Coturnix japonica: one gene and its partners. The protein of the gene in region 3 purifies or fractionates together with the protein of the main gene of each other region. This does not show direct contact. Links are inferred from orthologs where the notes say so. Each region holds a gene or a part of one and is shown on either strand. Other genes may lie near its edges. The genes, in order: SMURF2, TOM1 and CUEDC1.

The links.
Region 1: the proteins of CUEDC1 (region 3) and SMURF2 purify together in Homo sapiens (co-immunoprecipitation; 3 studies listed by BioGRID and IntAct, with this or other methods). This does not show direct contact. The link is inferred for Coturnix japonica from reciprocal best matches to the Homo sapiens genes CUEDC1 and SMURF2.
Region 2: the proteins of CUEDC1 (region 3) and TOM1 purify together in Homo sapiens (co-immunoprecipitation; 3 studies listed by BioGRID and IntAct, with this or other methods). This does not show direct contact. The link is inferred for Coturnix japonica from reciprocal best matches to the Homo sapiens genes CUEDC1 and TOM1.

The regions. Positions count from the first base shown.
Region 1 is NC_029533.1:7,225,721-7,229,370, reverse strand, and holds part of SMURF2 (E3 ubiquitin-protein ligase SMURF2), read right to left. Parts: intron 2,242-3,650; coding exon 2,031-2,241; intron 1,233-2,030; coding exon 1,129-1,232; intron 619-1,128; coding exon 504-618; intron 41-503; coding exon 1-40. UniProt on the Homo sapiens protein: E3 ubiquitin-protein ligase which accepts ubiquitin from an E2 ubiquitin-conjugating enzyme in the form of a thioester and then directly transfers the ubiquitin to targeted substrates.
Region 2 is NC_029516.1:47,628,276-47,631,925, forward strand, and holds part of TOM1 (target of Myb protein 1), read right to left. Parts: intron 2,588-3,650; coding exon 2,509-2,587; intron 2,365-2,508; coding exon 2,215-2,364; intron 2,096-2,214; coding exon 1,961-2,095; intron 1,661-1,960; coding exon 1,514-1,660; intron 452-1,513; coding exon 335-451; intron 1-334.
Region 3 is NC_029534.1:7,487,263-7,490,718, forward strand, and holds part of CUEDC1 (CUE domain-containing protein 1), read left to right. Parts: intron 1-252; coding exon 253-361; intron 362-1,386; coding exon 1,387-1,555; intron 1,556-1,928; coding exon 1,929-2,012; intron 2,013-2,595; coding exon 2,596-2,685; intron 2,686-3,182; coding exon 3,183-3,276; intron 3,277-3,456.

The DNA of each region.
Region 1 (3,650 bases), on a different chromosome or scaffold from region 3:
CCATTATCCGTCCAACAAAATGGAAATATGATAAGTGTTCCTGGAATTGAAAGAAAAGACTCAGCAATTCACCTAAATACAACTCCTAGATTGTATTCGCTGAACGTTTAATTAAATTTCAATACACCTTAACAACAACAAGGAAACCACCACCACCCAACACATAACCAGAGCTGTTTGATATCTTTTTTTAGTTTGTTTTTATATACAGCACACTGGGTACGTTGCTTCAAGTCCAGAGTCTTACTGTTAAGAATCAAAACAAACTCCATTTCTCCCAAAGGAAACATAAAACAATATCTTACAGAAAATTAAGATCATTTGAGATGTTTCTTTGTTTCTTTGATCCATACTAACAACAAATTATGTTATTTCATTCATTTAGTTTCTAGCAATATTAACGTGAGAACTAGATTCTTAAATCTAGAACATTATTCTCCACATGTACCTAACTGCTGGGTCACAAAAGCATCATTTTACTTAACTCCTATTGTCAGTCATACCGGGTTAACTGCAGAATCTGGGTTGATTTGCAGTGTGTAGATATCATCTCGGGAATACTGGAAGAGCCCATAGTATGGATTCAGCATTTCATGTGACAACAGGTAGAGCCACTCCCTGAAGAACAAGAAAGAAGAAAGAATTTACTGCATAACCTTAGATAAATTAATTTGCATATTGAGAATCTTTTCAATCTTTTCAAAGGACAGCTATGCACGTGTAGAAAGCAGAATTATTTTCACTGGTTCAGTAATGCACAGCACCTGTCAGCTGCCAGGATTTTCCTTCAAGTTGCTTTCCAAGAGTCACTGATTATGATTCTGTCACCAAGTTGACTGTTCAGTGGTGTACATACACTCCCAAATACCCAAGCTTTTCCAATTGATACAGGTTGCATCAGAGACACCTTTGGTAACAGGCATTTTGATTTATTTACAATAAATTCTCCTTGCTTTTTTTCCTTGAAAAGACTATCTGAGATATATACACTCTTCTGACATACAGCGTTACTAGAACAAATAGAACCACAGAATTTTAAAAGAAAAAGAGTCGTTGTCAGTTTGGTTTAGGAATCAAAGTGGTGCAGCTGGTGGGGCTGAGGAAAGGGATGGAGGACACACTGTTTACCTGGCAACACCTCCATAATCAAGACCTTCCTCCCCACGGAACTTTATCATTAATCGTTTCCATAGATCTTTTGGCCTCATCTTCATGACTTGCCTGTAAGATTCCTGTAAATACACAACACATTCTTTTATTAACTGCTATTTAGAGACAAGAAGCTACTACTGCTTATTAGAAACAAAGGGAGTCTCAGAATCTAAGCCCAAAGGGGATGTTGTTTTCCTAGAGACTGCTGTTTCTCCAATCACAAACTGTTACATAGCTTTCTATAAATGTGATAATGCTTGTCAAGTAAAAAATAGTGTGAAAAGCCAACAGTGGTACTTCTACTGACCAGAAGATATGCAAACCTTCACAAAGCATCTTAAGATGCTTAAGCATCATCAGCACCACCGCCATCCCAGTAAATCTATGGAATTATTGCTCTATCAGTAAGACTTCATCAATACAATATAAAAAGAATGCTAAAGAAAGAAACCAAATGCTCATTTTATAAATGGAATTAAATCAAAGGTTTTATTTATGATGCCCCCAATCTTTGTTTTTGCAGAAGAGAAGAGGCAGGCATGCCTGGGACGCTTCAGAAAAAGAATATAATAATTTCCACTCCTTTACAGCAGCATTTCTCCCCCTTCTTTTTCAGTTTATTATTAAGTGATTTGACTGTCTCCATTGGGAATACCAACACAAATATTTCTTGGCTGGAAAAATGGTGACAACGCAGTGGGGCTATCATGTTTGTGGGTGGAGTAAAAACACAACAGGGATGGGTGGGATGGGTGATAAAGTTTTTGAGACAAACAGGCTTCAGCATTTTGTCTAACTGAATGACTTCTTCAGACAGTTATGGATAACCCTCCTCCCCTTCCCTCAGTGTTAACAAATGGGTCAAGATCTCAAATTACCTCAAAAATCTCTTCCCTGGAGACCTCAATACGACAGTGGCCAGCTTGAGGTTGCTGCTGTGACAGCTCTTGCCTCAGGATCTTGAGTTTCTGCACCAGGTCTCGTTTGTACCTTGGCACAGTCAGACATTCTGCCTCATCTGGAAGCTGACACAGGGACACTACCTGCTGCTGCTGCTGGTGCTGCTGATCTTTAAGTTGATTCTGGCGGCTAGAAACAAACACAGCTGTTTGCAGATATTCAAGTCATACGTCTCCTGTTTTCTTCATGTGTTTCTTAAAGGTTAAGTCTTAGTAACTGACGTACTTTCGATTTACTATGATTACTGTGATTACACTAACAACATTCAGGCCTAGAAAAAAGTAAATTCAGAGAGATTTTATCCTGACTAAAGACATATGCTTCTGTCTTTCTTGGCAACTATCAGTTGTTTTTAGAGTTGGTTATTTCTATTAGTAGTACTCTACAAAGTATGTAAAAGGTTACAGCACGATATAATAAGGTATTAACCATACAGTTTTACTACTAAGCTGCTGACACTGAATTTCTCAGATACCATTTCCATATTTCCTTTGCGTGTTTTGCCTTCCTCCAATTTAAAATTCAAGGATCAGCCAAACACTATGCCTCTAATCTACACTCAATACCATAGTCTGTTTTAAATGGCTTGCATGAAAAAGAGTAAGCTTACAAAAAGATGTTTGTACTGGCAGCTTGGCAAGGACCTTGTCCCTTGTACCTGGCCTAGTCTGGACCACAGGAATGTGGGGAGCTCACATGTAACTAACTGGCACAGATAAGCAAGTATTTTTACTAGCAATTCTAAGAGATTTTGTAAATCTGACTTCTTACTGGACAAAGTCAGTTTTGAGCAGAGATGTCCTTTCTCATGTCACTTCTCAAGTAGGCCTTTTTGCATGGCTTAGCTTTTTAGTGTGGCACTTCCAAACAAGAGGACAAAAGCTGTATTTCCCCTAAAACTTGAAAAGCCTCTGTGCAGGACATGTGATAATGCCCCAAACTGACTGGATAAATAGGAAAGGTCACAATTTAGATATATATTTTTTTCCAATGCAACGTCAATTTATTTTTTTCCAACAACAAAACCAAACATATGAGACAGAACCTCACACAACTTCAATACCTCTTAAGATTTCAGTCCATTGCCTGTTTTGAAACAAAGTCTACTGAGAAAGCTCCCCTGACCAACCAAACTTCATTTCCACCGGGCTTTCACCACCACAGCATTCATTTTTGGCAGTTAAAAAAAGAAGTGGGAGTGTTCCCAGTTTGCCCTGTGGTTCTGACAGCCATTCGGTTATTTTCAAACCTTTTATTTAAAGTTAATTTGCACAAACCACATTCAAGTGAAATTTACTCCAGTCTACAGGGATCATCTATATCCTATGTCTTACAAACCTACCATCTAGAAGCCCCTGCAGTGACACACATTTGGATCAGCTCAGCAACAGCTGAAAGCTTATTCTTAATAATATTATCATTTTACATCTGGGCTATAAGAAGAAAATAATGCACAGCAACCCAATTCTGTCATGATGCCTTAGGATGCAATACACTGGAAATCAGCTTAACTGATTCTGTGAGATTCAGTGTTCTCT
Region 2 (3,650 bases), on a different chromosome or scaffold from region 3:
AAGTTTGGGATTTATAGTTACTAGTTTTCTCTGTCCCTGCAATAATTGCATACCACTTGCTTAACATATTATTCAGGAATAAAGGCCCTCAGGAATTTCAGGTCCTCGTGTGAGATGATTCCAACCTCAACAGGGCAAATTCCCTTAGTCACTGAAACTCCTCAACCCCCATGTCTCCCTTATCCCATCTGTCCCTGATAAGTCCCACACTGAACTGTTCCAGTGCAATTGTTCGCCATGCCTGGCATGTACATCTCAGTTCATCAACTCATTGCTAAATTGAGCTCCATGTGCCAGCCCTCTATCCCACCAGTAGCTGCCTTGTATTCCTTACTTGCAGCAGTTCCAAGTCAGAAGTCTCAGCCTGGGATGGCACCAGCTCTGTCAGCATCTCTGACATGACCTTCACATTCCCATTCACCACTTCCAGCTCACTGCGCAGCTTCTTGATCTGCAGAAGGGAGGGAAAGTAACTGCTTACCCTGTGAAGGATGGGGGATAGCTGAGGTAGCTGTGAAGGACAGCACATAGGGTGGATGCATTCACAAAGCTGAAGGGAAAAGCCACTGGAGAACTCATTTGTCACCGCTCAGTTTGGTTCCCAGGAGCTCTCAGCAGAAGGAAGCCTCATTACTTACCATCAAATTCATTCGCTGGTAAAAGATGCCAGGATCTCACTGGGGACCTTTGCCACTATATCTAACCTTGATTTTTAATAACCAGCAAAGGCTGCTGTTAGGATTCAATCTCTCCCCAGCTAGCAGCTTCTCTGTGGCAGCCACTCAAATGATTTCATTTCAAAGGCAGCAGAAGAGGGGAAAAAAATGAATTCCCATTCAGAAGGTGAGTCTGGGCTAAGAGTGCAGTTGAAGGTTTTCTCTCTTGTTTCAGAGACTAGTAATGAGTTCCTTGAGAGGAGTTCCCAGCCTTTGTTCTGCAAGGGGATGCTATCTACTAGCAGCTGGAGAATTAATGCTGAAGTTGGTGTCTTAAGTCAGGGTGAGAAAGGAGAAAAGAGGATGAGGAAACAACTGAGAAAGCCCTGGTCTCTGTAAGCTGCATAGCCAGTTAGGACTGACTCATATGGAGTCAATTGTTAGGCAAGATAAACAAAGATGGTACAGAGGCATCTACAAAGCAAAATTCTGCTCCACAACACTACAAAAATCTTGCCCAAAGCCTGTAGATCTCAGCTCCTTGCTTCCCTACAGCCTGGAGATCCTCCTAGTAGCTGCAAGCAGCCCTTTCTTAGGGAAGCGTAACCACTCTGTGTTTGTGGTATCCCTGTTGATTACTGTGACCACGATGGAGCTCTAGAAAATCCCTGAAGAATTGTCACGGTTTGAACAAAATTACAAAATTATTAAACCATGACAAGAATGATGCTTTGGAACAGCTCCTTAAGGATATAGGCTGGGGAAGGAGCAGGACCGCAGTCTCAGAACAGCATTTGTGAAACAGACCCCAAGCGGAGGGACAGCCAGCAGCAGCAGAGGGTATGTGTCCAACTCACCTGCTCTTGTGTGGGTGTGATGGGTGCATTGCTGGATGTGTCTCTCCCAGAAGGCAAGGTGACAGGGTGGAGGATGGACTCCATCTGCTGAGGGGAGTTGACTGCAGGTGAGTTCTGTCCAGACTGGGATTTGGAGCTATACACAGACTATGGACGGAGATAGGAACAACAGCAGAGATGTAAGACACTCACAGCTGACAAGGTAGTACAATTATGAAAGAAAGGTTGATGTCAAGTCCCCATCTGCTTTTAATAAGTCTTCCAACTTCTCTGCTTCACCTCCCTTAAAGCTCTTACCCTAAAGCTTTAAGCCACTTTGTCCACCACGGCCTTGCAAAGAGACCCTCCTGCAGCTTCTCACTTTCCACTTTCTCTAACAGCAACCCAGAGCTACTAGAGCATCCTCACAGCAGTATGCCTCCCACCTCCTCAGAAATGCCTTATTACCCTTCGTGGTGTGTGGATGGGTGACAGCATGTCCAGATCAGTCATGGGAAACTCAAGGCCTTTCCGTCTAAGGTCTTCATAGACAGCAACAACACCAGTTAAGTCCGGTGAGCTGCGGAAAGCATCCGCCCAGGACTAGGGAGAAGGAGATAACCATTCACATCATCATTTACATAATTTATACTACACTGATATACAAATACCACAGGACAAATGGTCCCTCCTCTGGTGCAGATGCTCACTCTTTGGCTCACCTGGATGAGGGTCAGCACCTTGTCGTGTACTATGGCAGGTGGGTTATTCTTCGGCAGGATTGTTCTCACCAGGACGCTTTCTACAAAGTCCTGGCTGGCTACAAGGATATGGAAGCGATGGCCACAGTTTTTGACACATGTCTCCAAGACCTTTGAAGGCAAAGAAGCATTAGCTACAGTCTTCTCTGCCTGCAGGAATTAGGCTTGTTGTCTTTTGGTGCCCATGTTTTTGCACCTGGGGACTCAGCTTCACAGCAAGAATCACAGAGCTAAGAAAGAATTGTGACCACTCACCGTCAAAGCCAGCATAACTTCGTGGAAATTCTTATTCCCTACAATTCTCTTCTTGATGGCTCGGAAGGCATCTTTGGGCCTACAGGAAAAAGCAAATGGAGAAAGATCATCAGAAGGGTGAGACTCACCTAGGAAGAAGCAAAGCAAAACAGCCACTGACATCCAGAGTCATGCACTCAATAGGTGATCTTCCCCATCACATTTTCAGTGCATCTTGAAGCAATGACTGATAAAGCAGTTTTTGCCTGTAGTTCTGTAGGAGGTGCTAGGTCCTGCTGCTGAGTGTTGGTGCTGAAACTGGAGGCTTCTGTGCTGATGTTTGCAACAATCCAAGGTGTACAGACAAAACAGAGAGTAATAGCAACACCAGAAATGTACTGTTTGGGGTAAAGCAAAATCCCATGGCAGCGACAATGCAGACAAGATCACAAAAAGCTTGGCAAAGGGTAGAAATAAGAAAGAGAGACGGAGAAGAAGCAATCCTTGTCAAGTTTAGAAAGAAACTGTTAAACCTTTCCCTGGAGGAAATGAGGCTAAAAAGAAGTTTGGGAGATGCAGTGAATCTTGCATAAATGGCAGCATAGCAGGGTCACTGTGGTCTTGTGAGAGGACACAAAAGGACTAACATACTCCAGTAGAGCAGGGGAAGAGAGGCTGGGCTGGAAGAGCAGCAGTGCTGGAAGACAAGAGTGGGATGGAGGCACCAAGGTAATGAGGAAGCATCTGGGGGCCCATGGGGTAGTAAAGCTGCAATGGATGGGCATCAGCAGGAGAACTGGAGAGACAGCTGTGTTAGCAACAGCCCAGAAATGAAACACAAAGTGGTAACAGCTTGGGACGGAGAACTGTTGGCAAAGACAGGCATATTTGTACCATGGGGAGAGCAGGGCTGGAAAATTAGGGGTGACAGATCTGTAAGAAAAGATGTTTGACTTTGTTTCCGTACAACTGTGAAGTTTCAAACTGAGCTTGCTATCTATCAGCCTCCCTGTGTGGTGGGACAGCAGGAGTGAAATCTACATTTTTCATTCCATGTATCACCTTCCTTTTTACATGCTGTTCTTGACGTCTCCACTGTGAGATAGAGCAGACCCCCTAGGATTCACTGGCAAATCCCCAGCTCCAGAGTTAACATGTTTGGC
Region 3 (3,456 bases):
GACCTCATGCCTGTGGCAGGGAAGGGCAGTGTGCTCTCTGCAGGGCTAGTGCAGCCAGGCTTGTGACAGAGCCCTGGAGTTCAGCTCTTCTCTGGCAGCTGTGAATGTGGGCTTGTAAGATAGGCACAGTGAGATTTCCCTGAATACACTTGGAGAGCTGAGCAGGTGGCTGCTGACACGGGTTGCTGTGTAATACCATTTGGTGGTGTTTGAGTTCCCTCTGGCTGAAGGCTCTGGCTGTGCTCACTGCAGGACGGATGTGCCGGGGCCTGGACGCTACAGGAACTGGAACCCACCGCTGCTGGGCAACCTCCCTGAGGACTTCTTGCGCATCCTGCCCCAGCAAGCTGCCCGGGCACAGGTGAGCACCAACTCCGAGCCCCTGTGGCATGACCAAGAGCCGTGAGTTGCTTCTGATCAGTTTGAAAATCAGCTCTGTTGCTCTGCTGGGAAATGCTAGAACCAGCCAGTGCTCCTGGGCAGAGCAGTGAGGCCTGATGCTCAGATACTGTGTATGTGAGGTACAAAATCTGCTACAAACCAGGGAGCGTCCTCATGGGAAATCGCGGTACTCATATTCTCCTTGGCAATTCTGAGGCTGGCACCACAGCACCCTGTGGGGACCGAACACAGCCTCAGTGGGCACCAGCTTGGCTTTGTCTGCTCCTCATCCCCTGGGCATCCCACAGCCACTTTGCACCTCTGCAGCAGAGCTGGTGCCCTCCCGGGATGTCAGGGGCCTGGGGACGGCTGCAGATGCATCAGCTTTTCCCTACCCTTTTTGGTGCTGAAGGCAGCCTCTTATATTGCCATATATAATTGCCTGAAAGTTGAGCTTCTCAGCCTATAATACCTTTCTGGGAATAGGAACGTATCATTTCACTGGGACTCAGGGGAGAGAGGAGCAGCTGCCCTTCTCTTCCCTGGTAATTGTGTGCCTTTGCTTTTTATGGCACTTTGAGAGCAGCAGTAGATATTGTAGATAGATACTGTAGGCAAGGGAGAGATCGATCCTGTGCTGTGTGGCTCTGCTCTTCCATATGTATGGATGCAGTGGTAGTCGGGGAGGGTGAGAGAGAGAGTGCGAGCACTGGGGCACTGCCAGCAGGAAATTGCAGTCTCCTCCTTTTAGTTGGGCAAAATTAAAGCAGTGATGCTGGCTGCAGGACCTTTTTCCTTCACTTCCACGTCTTGCTTCAACCCTATGTATTTAAATTAAAAATGTGATCTGAAAAAGAGCTCTTCCAGATGGTTCCCACATCAGGGGCTCTGCTCCCATGCAGCAATGTCCCTCTGGCTCTGCCTGGTGTTGGTGTCAGATGTGGGCTCCAGCAGCTTTGTGCTGTGGCCGTGGACCAACCTCTGTCCATGTTTCTTCCTGCACAGGGCTCCCCTGGATGCCGGCAGCCTGTGCAACGGGGCCAGGGCTCCCTGGAGCAGGAGAGGAGGTGGAAGCAGTACCTGCAGGATGAGCGGATTGCACTCTTCCTGCAGAATGAAGAGTTCATGAAGGAGCTGCAAAGGAACCGGGATTTCCTCCTTGCCCTGGAGAGAGGTGAGAAGCACCTTTAGGGACCTCTGCTTTTCAGGCGCATGCCCCATTCTGGGAGGCTGCTCCTGCTGCGGTGTGTCAACCTCATCCCCATCCGCTGCAGCTGGAAAACCACTGTGTTTTGGTGGCGCTCACTTCCCCTGCTGTGGGCTCCCACATAGTGCCTGCGGTCACTGCGCTGCAGCAGTGATGGTGGTGAGGAAGCTGCCTGCTGGCTCCCACTGCGCCCAGCTGTGCTGTGGAAATGTTTGACATCCCTGGGGTGTGGCAGAGCTTGTTCCTTTGCTGCTACTGAGAGCAGTGGGCATGTATGGACAAGGAGCATGAAGCTGTGCGTGCCAGCTCGAGAGTCTGATCTGGGCTTTTTGTTTTTCAGATCGACTGAAATACGAGTCAAAAAAATCCAAGTCAGCCAGTGCTGCTGTCAACAATGATTTCTGTTTCTCCTCCATAATACCAGGTAATTTCAAGATGCACAGCAGGATGCTCCAAAGCTCCACCCAGTGTGCCATGCTGTGCTGTGCCATGCCATGTGATGTGACTGTGTAGGGAGGAACCCAGCTGTTTCCTCCCTGCTGCACAGAGCTCTTAAAAGCACAGGGCAGTGGGGCAGACAGGTGATGGAGCTGGGTGCCTGCGCCCTCCCCACCCAGCCACTCCCATGTCCTGCCTCTGTTCCTCCCCTGGGCCCAGTTCCCAGAGGTGACAAAACCTGCTGTCTTGATGGGAACAGAGGATTGTGCCTGGGAGACGTAATGACTGTTCCCAAGTAATCCTGATTAACCTCAGAAGCGAGGCAGCTGCCTGGGGACAGAATTAGCACTTGTAGCTGTCTGTGTCCCCGAGTGGGGCTGGGGTGGGTGAGATGCAGCCACTCAGCTGTAAGTTGGGGTCACTCCCTGATGGATTTCTGCACCCCAGATCTTGGAGGGGTTTTGTCACCCAGAACCAGGTGTGGAGTGCTGTGCTCTTTTCCTGCTCACTGTTACTTAGCTCTGCCAGTGACCATACATGCTGATGGTGCCCAAATGTTTGCCTTTCAGGTGATGTAGCCACTCCTGGAACCAGTGAAGCTGGCAGTGCCGTGTCTGACGATGCCTTATTCAGAGACAAACTGAAACACATGGGAAAATGTGAGTTGCCTTCTAGACTCCAGTCTGGCAACAGGAAGGCCATGATGGGCTAGAGGAGTGCGTGGATTATACCACTGTGGTGTGTGTTGGTGATGCAGATGGTGATGGGAATCCCAGCAGAGGAAGCAGAGGAGTTTGCTATAGCCCTCCCTTTCCTCTTAAGCCTGTCACAGTTTGCTTCTCCCACTGCAAAACAAACACAAGTTCCTTGGGCTGTGTGACTCAGACTGCAGCTGGCCAAGACCCGCTGGGGTGGCCTGGGGTAGTCATGGGTAGGGAATACCACAGAAATCCCACTGAAAGGGTACAAACACCAGCACCTCTGGCCTGGGGCCACTTGCGTCTCTGCTGGTGGCAGGACCTGGCTTTCAGTGCCCAGCACCACAGTGGCTGCTTCCAGCACTGCTGGCTCTTGCCCATAGCTGTCTCCACCCCACACGCCTGGCAGCTCTTTGGGGAGTTTGGGGTGAGACCCTGACTGGGCTGCTTCCTTCTAGCAACGCGCAAGAAACTGTTTGAACTCGCCAGAGCCTTCTCTGAGAAGACAAAGATGAGGAAGTCAAAAAGAAAACACTTGTTGAAGCACCAGGTGTATCCTAAAAGGGTCTTGTTGCCATTTACTCCGGTAGCTGGGACTGCTGGGGGAATTCAGGTGGTCCTGGGGACTCTGTGAGTCTGCAGTTTGGAGAGGAGCGTCCCCAGGTGCCCCCATAGCTGTGGGCTATGAGGAGCAGTTTGTGGTGCTACGACCAGGTCCTGGTTTTCCTTAGC